Macaca mulatta: one gene and its partners. The protein of the gene in region 1 purifies or fractionates together with the protein of each later gene. This does not show direct contact. Links are inferred from orthologs where the notes say so. Each region holds a gene or a part of one and is shown on either strand. Other genes may lie near its edges.

Region 1 (4,191 bases):
CAGAAATTCACATTCTAGGCTGGACGCGGTGGCTCATGCCTGTAATTCCAGCACTTTGGGAGGCTAAGGTGGGTGGATCACCTGAGGTCAGGAGTTTGAGACCAGCCTGGCCAACATGGAGAAACCCCGTCTCTATTAAAAATACAAAATTAGCTGGGTGTGATGGCGCGTGCCTGTAATCCCAGCTACTTGGGAAGCTGAGGCAGGAGAATCGCTTGAACCCGGGAGGCGGAGGTTGCAGTGAACCAAGACTGTACCATTGCACTCCAGCCTGGGCAATGAGAGCGAAACTCCGTCTCAAAAAAAAAGAAAAAAAAAAAAAAAGATTTTCACATGCTAGAGTCCCACTGCAGACCTAGAGGGTCAGAAACTCTGGAGTTGGGGCCCAGATATCATTTGCTTTAACACGCCTTCCTAGGAATGCTGCTGAGAACCACTGGGTTAGAAAATTCCAAAGGCAAAGCTCTTTTAGCTGTAAAATTCTATTTGTGCTCTAAGGTATGATGATTTAATAGCATTCTCTTTGCACGGGAGTATTTCTTGCCCAAGAAAGGCAACCCTTCAGGGTAAGAAGAGAAGCTTGCTTTGACTAGCTGAAATCCAGAACCCAGGTGAGCTTTCCAGAAAGCCTTAAGAGTATGCGGCTGACTTTGAAGCCGGGTCTTTTATTTACTTGTTTATTTTTAAGTAGTAAGTCTTAAACTTGGCATGTGATAAAAGCAGTGGTTTCTGTAGTCAGAGAAATAAAGATGAGAGGAGAGCTGCTTTCTTTTCTCAGCTCCAAAAAACCATGACTCACTGTGGGGTGGGTGTGTCTAGGGGAGGTCGGGGGTCCTTTGAGAGGGCAGTTCCTCTCCCTGGTTCAGGAGCTTCCTGGTGTGTAAATCCTGGACTGCCACCTCCCCCTTGGAGAGCACTGATTACAAAACCCTCGGAAGAGCCACCAACAGCCACGGTGGCGATTACAACACAGAGCCGGGTCGACAAGCTTTCGTGAGGTTTGGCAAGACAGTAAGAATGGAAAGAATGTCTCGTCTTAAAGTTTTCCCAGTATGGACTTAAGACCAAAAGTCATCATCAAAAAAGATAAAGAGTGATTTCACGGAAATGCGATGGTTTCTTCATGCAAGAATGGGGAACACCCAGACCATCCTCTGGAGAAGTGTGGCTGTTTGGGTCAAGGCATGTCGGTTCTCACGGTGTTGGTGTCCAAGAACGAGCACTTATGAGACCTACTGCCCAGTGATTTCCAGGGATTCCTAACCTTCACTTGGTGGTATCTCAGGAACAATGTGGGTGTGTAAATATATACATGTATGTATGTGTATGTATATGTACATGTATGTATGTGTATATTTATATATAATGTGGGTGTGTGTATGTATGTATTTCAAGAGATAGGATCTCCCTGCGTCGTCCAGGCTGGAGTACAGTGGCGCCATCAGGGCTCACGCAGCCCTGACCTCCCAGGTGCAACCAATCCTCCCAGCTCTGCCTACCGAGTGGCTGGGAGCACAGGCACACACCACCACGCCCGGCTAATTTCTGTATTTTTGTTTTTTTTTTTGTAGAGACGGGGGTCTCGCCATGTTGCCCAGGCTGGTCTCGAACTCCTGGGCTCAAGCGATCTGCCCGCCTTGGCTTCCCAAAGTGCTGGGATTACAGTCGGGAGCCACTGCGCCCAGCCCAATGCTAATAAATATCACAACTGTTTTTTTATATGGCACTGGCCACGTACCAGGCATTGTTCTAAGTATTTCACATTTATTAAGGAATTTAATTTTCACAACAAGCCCACGGAGGTAAGGACCATTATTACCCGCCAATTACAGGTGAGGAAACCTCCGCCCAGGGAGGCTGCGTCATAGAACTATAAGTATCCTGTCACCAGGGTGCAAAGAACCACGGACCAGCACTCAGGCGCCAGGTGCCCTGGGCTCGGCTTGGCTCGAGCGCCGGGCTGCCCCACCTACGGAGCACCGAGGTGGGCTGACCCGGAGGGTTTCTCCGACCACTTTCTGCTCAGGTTCTCAGAGTCTGTGCGGGTCCATTTGAGGCTGGGTCGAGATAAGAGCCCAGGCGGACACGTCCTGAGATCCGGGTCTGTGAGGCCTGGCCGCGGGCTGTCTGGCGCTGGGTCCCCTCTGGCCAGTCGCCCCCAAGACGCCAAGCCCCAGGCTTCGCGGTCCTGGGAGAATGGACTTCTAGCCCTTCTCAGGTGTCCATGTCCGGAGAGCCCGGAGAGCCAGAAAGGAGCTGGCCAAAGCCCAGGCGGCGGGACCCAGCACAGCGGCCCAGCCACTGCCAACCACGCAGTCCCTTTAACCCCGAAAACTTTCTCCCTCGATTCGGGACCCCAGCAGACACACATTGGCTGCGAGGTGGGCATCCGGACCCGCCCTCTCTCCTTATCTACTGGCTGTCGTATACATCTATCACAAGCCAAGGCTTCCTAATGGCCCAAGTTCTTGTCAATCAAGAGTGGGAGGAAAGCTGGGCGGGGCCAAGTCGGAGAGCTACACGCCAGCCTCATTGCCCTCCCTGCCTCAGTGACTAGGCACCCGGAGGCTTCCCAGGGGACCGAAGCTGGGTGCGGAGCACCGGGGCGGAGCTGTGGGGGGCTCCAGGGACTCACCGATGCGCTGTCCCACTGGAGAGCTGAACGGGTTCCCCAGGAGAAAGTCCATTGCTGCTACTGCCGCTGCCACCAACCCCGGGAATCAGCTGACAGCAACCGCCAGCGCCGCCAACCCGTCACGTGACGCACCCGAAGGCCGGCGAGGAGGCGTGGGCGGAGCGGTGGCAGAGCGGAGCTGGACCACAGGCCCCGCCCTGACGCGCCAGGGTCCCGCCCCCGAGGCGGAGGGCGATGACCTCATCGTCGCTTCTTAGGCGGCGGCGGGCGTCACGCACGACGTAGAGCCTGGGGGCGGGGCCCGGGAAGCGCGGTCCTCTTTAAGCCACGCCCCTGACCTTTTAGGGCGGGGTCTAAAGGACCCTTTACACATTTGGGAAACTGGGTCGTAGACCAGGGAAGTGACTTGGGTGAGATTACACAGAAGCCGAGACTCTTAGTGTCACAGACCTTAGTCCTTGGGACCTCACTGTGACTGCACACCTACTCTGGGTGACAGCCTCTCTGGGCTGCTGTCTCCTTGCCCCGATAGGACTCTTCCTGTTTGATGTCAAGGTCTCCCCGCTCCAAGATGCACCCTGCTTGCAGCCCAAATTATCTTACCTTAAATCAGAGGTAAGGGCAAGGGGTTTGTCATCTACTGAGACTGAGAAATAATTGAATGAATTGCAGCGCAATTCCCTCTAGCGCCCAGGATGGCAGAAAGCGCAGATGTAGTCACGAGTGGGGCTTTGATACCCATCTCTGCCATAAATTTACTGTGTGAGCCAAACACAGCTCCCATTTTCTCTAGATACTGGAATTAGATCAAGGACTCGTAAGCATTTAAAAAAAATATTTTATTTAGGTCACAGTCTCCTTGGAGAATTTGACAAAAGCCATGAGGCTTTCTGAAGACAAAAAGCAGCGATAGAATTTTGCTTATAACCTCAGGGAGTTTCTGGGGTCCCTGAAGTACAACCGTGGACCCCAAGCTAAGAATCTCAAAGGCCTTTCCCAGCGTTGAGACTAATCTCTTCAGCCTTCCTGGCTGTGTGTGGTGTGTCTGCTGACCCCACACACTAGATACCTATCTATGGGTTATGACCTTTTCTTCTGACATGTACTCCAAAAATACAATAACCATGGCCTTAGTAGTCTGGCTACTGTGGGTGCTTTAGTATTTATTGTAATGTTTGTGGTTTTTAAATCTGAAAGACTAGTAAATTGACTGCACAAATTTTGGATGATAGAAAACCTAAATTAAGCAAGGCGCGGTGGCTCACGCCTGTAATCCCAGTACTCTGGGAGGCCGAGGCGGGCAGATCACGAGGTCAGGAGATTGAGACTATCCTGGCTAACACGGTGAAACCCCGTCTCTACTAAAAAATAGAAAAAATCAGCCAGGCGTGGTGGCGGGCGTCTGTAGTCCCAGTTACTCCGGAGGCAGAGGCAGGAGAATGGCCTGAACCGGGGAGGCGGAGCTTGCAGTGAGCTGAGATCATGCCACTGCACTCCAGCCTGGGCCACAGAGCGAGACTCCGTCTCAAAAAAACAAAAAACAAAAACAACTCCAT
Region 2 (3,500 bases), on another chromosome or scaffold:
CAGGAGAAACACTTGAACCTGGGAGGCGGAGATTGCAGTGAGCCGAGATTGAGCCACTGCATTTCAACCTGGGCGACAAGAGGGAGACTCTGTCTCAAAAAAATAAATAAATAAATAATAAACGGAAAGGCCTTGAGCCTTCCAGCACCTTTGCTGCAGAGCTGGGGCTAACCTTGGGCCTCAGCCCAGCCTTCTCCCTGCACAACTTGCTCCTCCCCCACCAACACACCATCAGTTACACACACAAGCTCTCACGCTGTGGCCATCACAGGGACAGAGCTCCACCGCCCTCTCATTTCCTCTATCCCAAACGCACTCCCACCCTGCAGGGGAAAGGTAGCCAGGCTGGGGAGCAGGGTCTCCAACCCAGAGACAACCCAAATACCTGCAAAGTTCCAGAGCCCCTGCTCTAAGGTCTTCCACTCAAGAGCCTCCCCAACCCTGGCGTTCACGAACCCAGTCATTCTGTTCCCGGAGCTCCAGACACATCACGCCTGCCTTGGGGCTGGGGCTCTGTGAGGAGGGGCAGTGCTCTTCTCCCTGCTGCCTTGTGCCAAGGCCAGTTCCTGGCACAGAGCAGGTGTGCAAAGGGAAGAAGGCCTAAGAGTGCACACCCTTCTTCCTCTGAGTCCCGAGGGAGAAAGGGGTGGGTTAGTGACCCAGGTCCCCATAGGCAGAATTCTGAGGCTCCCATGGGATAACTTGGTGGGAGTCAAGGCTCAGTAGGACAGAAAGCACCTGGCCCCTCAGCCCCCAGCTCAGTGCTTTCCTGAGCCCCAAGGCTAAAGCCAGCATCACCTCCCTTCTTCAGCCAGGGAGAAGTGGCTGCAGGCACTGCCCACCTCTCTCCAGGGCAAGGAGGAAGTCGCGGTTTCGTTGCAGCTCCTTCATGAACTCCTCGTTCTGTAGGAAAAGCGCGATCCTCTCATCCTCCAGGTACTGCTTCCAGCGGCTCTCCTGGTCTCGGGGCCCTGGCCCAGTCATGGCAGGTGGACCTCCGTCTCCGCTCCCAGGCTTGGGGCCCCCAGCATTACCCTGAGGAGGGAGGCGAGCATGTTGAACGTGTACACACAAGGGTACATGTTGCACAAACATCCACATCCCTCTGGTTGCACACACGCCCTGTCCAAGATCCTCTAGCCCTCACCTGAGGCTCACACCTCCTAATGGAACCTAGTGGCAAGCCAAAATCCAACGGACAGGTCAGAGCCCTCATTGCAGGGGACACAGCAGTAGCCTAAAAACTATTTTTCCTCCACGCCACGGACCACCTCATACCTTCATCTACAACCTGAACAGTCCTGAAAAGAAATCTGCAAACTGTGGAACAGCCTATACGTGGATTCCCAAACTCAACCCTCTCCCGGCACCGGCAGCCTCAGGGTGGACCTGCCCCGCTGTGGGGCACCTTGGAGCATGCCAACATCTATCGAGAAGCTGCCTCTGGCCCTTTCCCGAGGGAGGAAGGGGGGTGCTCTGGCCCTCCACCATTGGCCACCCCATGCCCGCCTCTCTCCAGCCTGAGGTGACTGCTGCAGCAGACAGCCTCCTTAGGCTGCCACCTTCCCTGGATAGAACAGGAAACCTCCAGACCCAGGCAGGAAGTGAGGCTTTCAGTTCAGCATTCTTTCCCTACGAACCCAGGGCAACAGAAATAGCTCAGCCTGGGTTTAAACATCAGGAAGTAAAACTGGCTGGCACAAATTGTGTGGGCAAAGAGAGATGCTGGACAGGCAGGTGGGAGTGGAAGGCGGGGGCGGCCCCTGTTACCTGTATGCTGTCCAGCTGCTGGGGGAGGATGCGGAGAAAGTCATCCGGGAGGTTGCCCAGTAGTGGTGGGTTCCAGTTCCGATAGCGTCTCTGGCTTGTAGGGGCTGCAGAGCTCAGCACGTCGATACTAGGGGATGGGAGGTGACAGGGAAGAGGGAGTCATTAAGCCCAACCCCAGGTCTCCTGGCCCCATCACACCAGGTCCTCAGGCAGGTCAGATCCTGCTCAGAGATTCCCATGGCCTCCACTGCCCCCAGAACAAAGGCCCATCACTTTGTGTCATCACTGGAGATGTCTCCACCGGCCTCAGCGAACTCCCCAGCCATTCATGCTGTCCAGTCACATGCCCGCCCAGGTCTCTAGACCTTCAGCGCTGTCTGTCCATGGTGCACATGTGGAACTCTGTGGATTTAGCTATAGATGTTTACAAATGTGCCCTAAAGACAGCAGGGATTGTATCCTTTCATGCTTCTATGCTAGCACCTACACAGTGCCAGGCTCACGGTGCTGAGTGACAGGTATGGTCCAAAGGAACAGACACATAAGCCACCAACAGCACAGCCTGCTGCATGTTGGTTTGCTGAAGAGGGGGCATATGGGGACGCCAGGATCCGTACAGAGGGTAAAGCAGATCCAAGCTCCAGTTCTGGCTCAACCATCAGCCGGCGGGGTAGTCTTAGGTGGGCCCCTGTTCCCCTCTCGGGTTCGGTTTCCTTAGCTAGAAACTGCTGCCTCCCTGCCCAGGTACTGGGGAGCCCCTCAGGAGGCCATGTCCTGAGCAGTGTTCTGAAAAGTGTGTGGAGAGGTGAGTGTGGAAGGGATCTCCCTCTCAGGGTGCTCTGGGACCACTCTTTCCAGGCCTGGTGTGTGTGTGGCAGGAGCTCCGTGCCATGGCAGAGCCAACAGCTGGGCAAGGCAGTAGAGGAAGAGGGGGTGGCACACACACCCTCCCTGACCCCCAGGCTCCCGCCCTACCGCCCTGGGCCTGAGGGCAGCTCGGAGCCCAGCCAGGAGCTCCCCACAGCTCCATGGCAGCCTGCAGCGTGGCAACCGCAGGACACGTGTTCCGCTGAGTCAGGGAAACGGCACACTGAGAAGGCAGCCGAGGGCCGGGCGGTGGGGGCCGCTCTCGCTCTCTCGGGCCTGGCTTTGATTTGGTCTCCAGCTCCAGGAATCCCGCCCGCCCCCTCACTGGAGGGGAGCTTTTCCGGGCTGCAGCTGACTATGGAAATAACTTCCTTTCCTTTTCTATTTTGGGCGGGTGGCCGGCGGCGGGGGCGAGGGGAAGGGGCGGGGGCGGCAGCAGACGGGATAACCAGCTGCTAAGTGCCTGGTGGGAGCTCAGCTCTTGCAGACTGGAGCCAAGGGAACCCCAGCACGCCTCGTCCACCCTCTGGCTGCACAGACACAAGGGGAGAGGGAATGGTCTGGAGAGGAGCTTGCATCACAACCCGGGACTCCCATTCCTAGGCCAAATTTTTTCTACATCACTGCCACCTTCTGCCACTGTTGGAGGCTTCATTTTTCTCCAAAGGCCAGAGATGGGGAGTGAGGAAGCCCCATCTCTCAGGGACTCGCAGACCACCCCAGGCTACAGCAGGGAGGGACCCTCACCAGGGGTATTACCCGTTCTTGGGGTCTCAGGGTCTTCATCTGGGACACGGGTGCCCACCCCCAACTTAACCACACCTCGGAGCCACCCAGGAAAGCAGCGGAGGGAGAACCTCAGA
Region 3 (3,500 bases), on another chromosome or scaffold:
GCTCATAATCCACATCCACACCCCTACTATATCAGGCTTGCACCTAATTCACAAGTGTGGAGGGGAAATCTTCATCTGATTAGATCCCATGGGATATGCAAACCTAAGGCAGTACCATCCTAGTACCCAGAGGATTATTTTTTATGTCTTTACTAGAGGATTTTTTTAAAGCTCAAGAATGTGATAATTAAATGATAGCAGTTAACTTCATTTTGCCTTCCATATATATGTAACTCAAATATTAAAATCCAAAGCTAAAGAAGTTACAATTTAAGCATAAAAGCTGAGGACTCAATAAAAACAAAAATCATGTAAGAATCTAGTAGTATTAACACAGGAACAGAAAACCAAATACTGCATGTTCTCACTAGTAAGTGGGAGATAAATGATGAGAACACATGGACACAGGAACAACAGACACTGGGGCCTACTGAAGGGTGGAGGATGGGAAGAGGGAGAGGATCAGGAAAAAAAACTAATGGGTTGTAGGCTTAATACCTGGGTGACGAAACAATCTGTACAACAAACCCCCATGACACAAGTTTACCTATATAACAAACCTGCCCATGCACCTGAACTTCAAAGCTGAAAAACAACAAAAAACCCCCAACACCCCCTGCCCCCAAAAGAATCTGGTAGCAGTTTTTTTTTTTTTTTTTTTTGGAAGGAAATAGTAATGATACTCACAGAAGGAAGTGAATCAGTAGTATGGGTACACTAGTCAAGCATAGAGTATCAAATCTTTCTCATCTGGAGGGGTTTTTTGATACCAGAAAGTTTTGGTCCAAACATAGCATACTAGCTAGGTTACCCAGAATATTCATGATGGCCAAAGACATTATAAAGCTACACTTTTTTGAAAAGTGTATCTTTTAATCTAAAATGTAGAGCAATTTCAACATTTTGACTACCTCATTACACTAAAATCCCTAAGGGTTTTGCTATTTCATCTAGAGCCCAGGTAGTAAATTCTTCAAAAGAACAATCTGCCAGTGCAACCACAGGCACAAATGATGATGGTCTGGGAGCAGGAAAAGCCTACTTTTTGTACTGTATTCTACAATAAACATTTTGGTTTCACTTGTAATTTAAAATTCTTCCAAGACAAAAAATACTTCAGCACTTTCTATAAAGTCTCAGGAATCATTTTATATATATATATAAAATACACACACACACATAATAGGCAGTGAGAGAGCAGTAATCTAAGTGTTCTGTAGTTTTCCTGGTCTTTTAGAGATAGCTATCAACTTTAAAGTTTTATTTCCCTCACAAAGTAACTGGTAGAATAAAGCTAAAGCTAAGTTAAACATTAAACAAAATTAACTGCCCTTAGGGATCTTCTAGAGTTCAGAATGTCTCGACCATTACTCCTCCCTGCAACACAGGTGGTCCTTACTTCTCTATAACTCATTTCATGTATCACAAAGCTGAGCATTTTGTTTGATCTTATCTTTAATTTATGAATTATATATGAAAAATATTTTAGTTTCTAGAGTTGGGCAAACTTGATGAAAGAGGTAAGCCTATACATTCCTTAGATAACAGATCCCTTTGCCTACCATAGAGGCTCCTCAAAATGGTATGAAGAGCAAGCTGATGTTAATATTCAAAAGCCTAAATGATTCTCAAATGACTCTGAAAGTATATAACCACTTTTCTAAATTTTTCCATCCAAAATTAAAATAAAGGAAATTCCTTTGAAATAATGCTATTTTTTTTCTTCTTTTAAACAGATGGTCATTCTTACTCACCGATTTCCTTCCGTATTTCAAAGGAAACCACAGAGTATTATGTTTGGAAGAAATAATCCAGCACACAACTTAAGAATGCTAACAATTTCACATTTAGGGAAAAAATATTTTTGAACTACGACCAAACCCTTGTAGAACTGCTAAACTGGAATCCAACCAGAAAACACGTTACTCAAAACCACTTACCTTAAGAAAATTCTTGACTCGCTCAGGATCATAGCAGTTGCTTTCTCTACAGATTCTTTCTACTTCTTTGATTTGCCCAGTCTTGCAAGCTGCCTGAATGTATTTAAAGTGCACATCTGGGTCCTGACTAAAGTTAACAATGGATCCCAGAAAATAAAAGAGACCTTAAAGAAACAAGTAATTACAATTAAGCATAGGCACACTTTTGAGAATGACTGAAAAGCATTTATGCAATTAAAAAACTGTTACATTGAATACTCCCAAATATAAGTTGGTTGCTTAAAAAGCTCGATAAAAATACTAATTATTCCATTAATCAGATCAGTAAAATGGATTTGCACTTTAATCCTAAAGAACAGACAATTCAACCCAATGTTTCCTTTTTTTCTTTTTTATTGAGGCAGGTCTCTGTCACCCAGGCTGGAGTGCAGTGGCACGATCATAGCTCACTGCAGCCTCAAACTCCTGGGATCAAGCAATCCTCCTACCTCAACCTCCTAAGTAGGTAGGTGCATGCCACTATGCCAGGCTAATTTTTAAGAAAATTTTTGTAGAGATGGGGTCTTGCTGTGTTACCCAGGCTGGTCTTGAATTTGTGGCCTCAAGCAATCCTCCTGCCTTGGCCTCCCAAAGCACTGGGATTATTAAAGGCATATACCACTGTGCCCCTATATGGGAAATTTTAAATGAAGACCCCAATACCTGGTGTTTTTCAATATGCAGTTTATAGGAAACATACAAAATAATTTGGGAAGAATTTAGTGCAGTATTGTCCAGAAGAACTTTCTGCAATGATGAAAATCTTATCTTTGCCCCCCGATGTAATAGCCACTAACCACACGTGGCTATTAAGCACTTGAAATGTGGCTAGAGTGACTGAATAACTAAATATTAAATTTTATTTAATTTTAATAACTTTCAATGTAAATAGCTGCTATATGTGGCTAGTGACTGCTGTACTAAACAGTGTAAAACTGTGAAAATTAAGAAAACATTAAGAAAACTAGTAGACTCTCTTACCCCTTCTCAATAGAGCACTACTACTACAAAGAGGAGAGAAAGGCAATTGAGGACCAGAACTTAGCCACCCAACAGTGATTACGTTAGTTCCCTGCATAGCAGTGGTTCTCAACTGAGGTGATTTTCCTCACAGGTGACACTGGCAATGTCTGAAGACATTTTTGGTTGTCACAACTGGTGGAGCTGACGCTACTGGCATCTAGTGGGTAGAAACCAGGAATGCTGCTAAATATTCTACTAAATATTCTACATCTACAGGAATACCCCTCTACAATGATTATCCAGCCTTAAATGTCTATAGTACTAAGGTTAAGAAATTCTGCTAAATAGCAACAAATCACAAAATGCCCTTGGCGAGAATCACCTGCTATTGTAAGAGTCAGACATATAAGCATAAAATGTTATTATACCCGATCATTAGTACAGATTGAGTATCCCCTATCCAAAATACTTGAGACCAGACATGTTTCAAATTTTCAACTTTGGAATATTCGCTTTATAATTACCTGATCAGCATCCCTAATCTGAAAATCCAATTTC
Region 4 (3,112 bases), on another chromosome or scaffold:
CTAAAAAATTAGAAATATTTTCCTAACAGATTTGAACTGAAAGTTGAAAGAAAAACCAATTGTTTTTACATGCAAAATGATTATCACTCCTTGTTAAGAGAAATATGCATTAAAATAACACCGGGGGCCAGGCGTGGTGGCTCACACCTATAATCCCAACACTTTGGGAGGCCGAGGCAGGAGAATTGCTTGAGCCCAGGAGTTCAAGACCAGCCTGGGAAACACAGTGAGACCCCATCTCTTTAAAAAGTAATAATATTAATAGTAACGCGGTATTATTTTTTACCTATCAAATTGTCCAAGTTCAAAAGTTTGATTATATACTTCTTTGATAAGGATGTGGGGGAGGCCAGGTGCCGTGGCTCACATCTATAATCCCAGCATTTGGGAGGCCAAGGTGGGCGGATCACGTGAGGTCAAGAGTTCAAGACTGGTCCAGCCAACATGGTGAAACCCCATGTCTGCTAAAAATACAAATATTAGCAAGGTGTGGTGGCACATGCCTGTAGTCCCAGCTACTTGGGAGGCTGAGGCAGGAGAACTGCTGGAACCCAGAGGGTAGAGGCTGCAGTGAGCCAAAATCATGCCACTGCACTCTAGCCTGGGTGGCAGAATGAGACTCTGTCTCAAAAAAAGGATGTGGGGGAAAGAGCTCTCATAAATTGCTGGAGAAAATAAATATAAATTGACATAACCTCTATATGCGATAATATGGTAACATCTATTGAGTATATACTCAGGCCTGGAAATTCTACTCAGAATTCTTCTTATAGATATACTTATACTATGTAAAAGCAAAATATTGTGGACAACCTGAATGTCTATCAACATATATCAAATATGCACGAATAACGAGTTAGATAAATTATGGTACATTTATATAATCAACTACTATGTCACTTTAAAAAAAATGTATACTAGTACTAATACCTTTAAGATATATTAAAGAAGGTAAAAAATCTGTAAAAGGGGGAGATGAAAAAGGAGGACACACACTTATTTGCTTGTACATGCATAAAATCACAAAGAATACATAAGAAATGAGTAACACTGATTGCTTGGCCGGAGAGGGAGGATAAAGAAAAGTATGGAGGTGAACTGATGGGTTGGATGTCAACAGTAGGAAAGACATTTCCAAGGCTGTTGCCTTATACAACTCTACTGGGAACCATTTACATTGTAGTCTGGAGTTATTATCTTGAGTCCACCAGTTACATAGAATACAGTGTGAATGCTGCTCTCTGCAAATATTCAGTGAGGTGGTCCTGTTATATATACACTTTTAGACTTTTAAGATTTTAAGTCATGTACATATAGAATCTAATCAGAATAAGTAAATTTAAAAACCTACCTATAAAAGGCAGAGTAGTCATGGAGAAGGGTTCAGTAAACTATGGCCTACAGGCCAAACTTGGCCCCACTGGGTAAACAAAATTTCACTGGAACATAGCCACACTTATTTGTTTACATACTGTGAATGGCTGCTTTCCCAATATAACGGTAGTGTTGAGTAGTTGTGAAAGAAACCATACTGCCTACAATGTCCAAAATAGTTACTGTCTGTCCTTTTATGAAAAAAGTTTGCTGACCCCTGTTGTGGAGATTAATACAGATAATATATGTGAAGTGTGTAGCACACATTTGATGCTCAACAATTTTCATTCTCTTTCATCTCAAAAGGTTGAAGAAAAACTTCACTATTTTAATATGCAATACATTCATTTCAAAAATACATCACAAAAACAGGCCTCACCATATCAGTGTCAGTGGAAACTCTGAGTCCAATTTTATTCATCCCATTACTCTTCAGAGTTTTCAGGTGAGGGCACAGGGCAGCACTACAAGCCATGGCTATTTCTTTTGCAAACTGATAACAAGTTGATAAAATAGATAAATCCTGTTCCTTTAGAAAGTAGAACACCTGAAATATATTTAATTAGGCAACAAGTCATGATTAAAATTAAAAGTAACTTTAAAATGCAACAATTGCTGCTTTCAATTCAAGTTTAATTAAATTCCAATGTAAAGTACCACGAAAATCATTAGTTGTGAGAATTCAATATCAATAGCTTGATCTGTACTATAAGTAAAAACATAAAACCAAAAGTTATGGTAAATATGGAAACGTCTCAGCAATTTTTGCCTGAAGTTAATTTGTAGCAAGGAAAGCCTTATTAAATCAGTATGAGTCTATCCTGTAAAGAACACCTATATGAAGTTAAGATAAAACAAATCATGTTCCATTGTGCTTATTTTCTCTATAGGTTCTATTTTGCACATGTAATAAAATCACAAAGAATGCGTAAGAAATAAATATGAGGGGGAATAAGGAGGTAGACTAAGGAGTTGGGGGTCTATAGTTTCATATCCTCTAATTTAAAGAAAATACTAAAGCATGAAAAAATAACTTTCATATGTGAATGCTGATTATAAATAAATGACAATAAAATATCTTATTTTTCATAATATCTGAGGAAAATGAAAATATGGTCAAGTAACATTAATTACAGTACTAAGATGGCAATGCTGCCAACACAGATGGTAGGCAGTACCACCATTTGATAGCCTGAACTAACCCTATGGAAACCAATTCTGGTGTATAAAAGTCTGGGGTGGAAATGTGTGTGTCTCAAAGTGTAGCATAAAAAGTATAATAAGCTATGCATAAATATTTAGAGATTGAGTATGCACAATCTCCAAAGAACAAAAATCATACTGAAACACAGCATGTAAAGGGACCTTCTTCCTTAGCTACCTCGGTACACTTTACAATCTTCTCATCAGTTTCAAAATCTGCTTCCAGTTTTATTTTTTCACTTGGAAATCCTTGTAATGACATTCCATCCACTGAACTGGTAACACTATGAAATAAAACATAATACAATAGAATTATTGGCACTAATGTGTTTTTTGAAATGAATTATTAGATGTGAACAGACGGAATAAGAGAAAAAATATAAAAGAAGATATCTCCATTATATATAAAATAATTAAATCTGTAGTTCATATTCATTTACCAAGATTTCTTGATTGTGTAGTAATCTTTTTTTGTTCATCAATAAATTATATCTCCTTTTTCATATGCCCAATTCAGACCTGAAGTTTAAAATAC

What was found. The genes of interacting proteins can lie anywhere in the genome.
Region 2: the proteins of TOM1 (region 1) and CUEDC1 purify together in Homo sapiens (co-immunoprecipitation; 3 studies listed by BioGRID and IntAct, with this or other methods). This does not show direct contact. The link is inferred for Macaca mulatta from reciprocal best matches to the Homo sapiens genes TOM1 and CUEDC1.
Region 3: the proteins of TOM1 (region 1) and CLTC purify together in Homo sapiens (affinity purification with western blotting, with the first as the bait; 3 studies listed by BioGRID). This does not show direct contact. The link is inferred for Macaca mulatta from reciprocal best matches to the Homo sapiens genes TOM1 and CLTC.
Region 4: the proteins of TOM1 (region 1) and ZFYVE16 purify together in Homo sapiens (affinity purification with western blotting; 3 studies listed by BioGRID and IntAct, with this or other methods). This does not show direct contact. The link is inferred for Macaca mulatta from reciprocal best matches to the Homo sapiens genes TOM1 and ZFYVE16.

What each region holds. Positions count from the first base shown.
Region 1 is NC_133415.1:16,241,390-16,245,580, forward strand, and holds the start of TOM1 (target of Myb1 membrane trafficking protein), read right to left. Parts: upstream 2,801-4,191; 5' UTR 2,688-2,800; coding exon 2,636-2,687; intron 327-2,635; exon of another isoform or gene 1-326.
Region 2 is NC_133421.1:52,116,470-52,119,969, reverse strand, and holds part of CUEDC1 (CUE domain-containing protein 1), read right to left. Parts: intron 1,898-3,500; coding exon 1,771-1,897; intron 1,036-1,770; coding exon 843-1,035; intron 1-842.
Region 3 is NC_133421.1:50,315,859-50,319,358, forward strand, and holds part of CLTC (clathrin heavy chain 1), read right to left. Parts: intron 2,105-3,500; coding exon 1,941-2,104; intron 1-1,940. UniProt on the Homo sapiens protein: Clathrin is the major protein of the polyhedral coat of coated pits and vesicles. Two different adapter protein complexes link the clathrin lattice either to the plasma membrane or to the trans-Golgi network.
Region 4 is NC_133411.1:86,801,680-86,804,791, reverse strand, and holds part of ZFYVE16 (zinc finger FYVE domain-containing protein 16), read right to left. Parts: intron 2,862-3,112; coding exon 2,756-2,861; intron 1,922-2,755; coding exon 1,754-1,921; intron 465-1,753; exon of another isoform or gene 287-464; intron 1-286.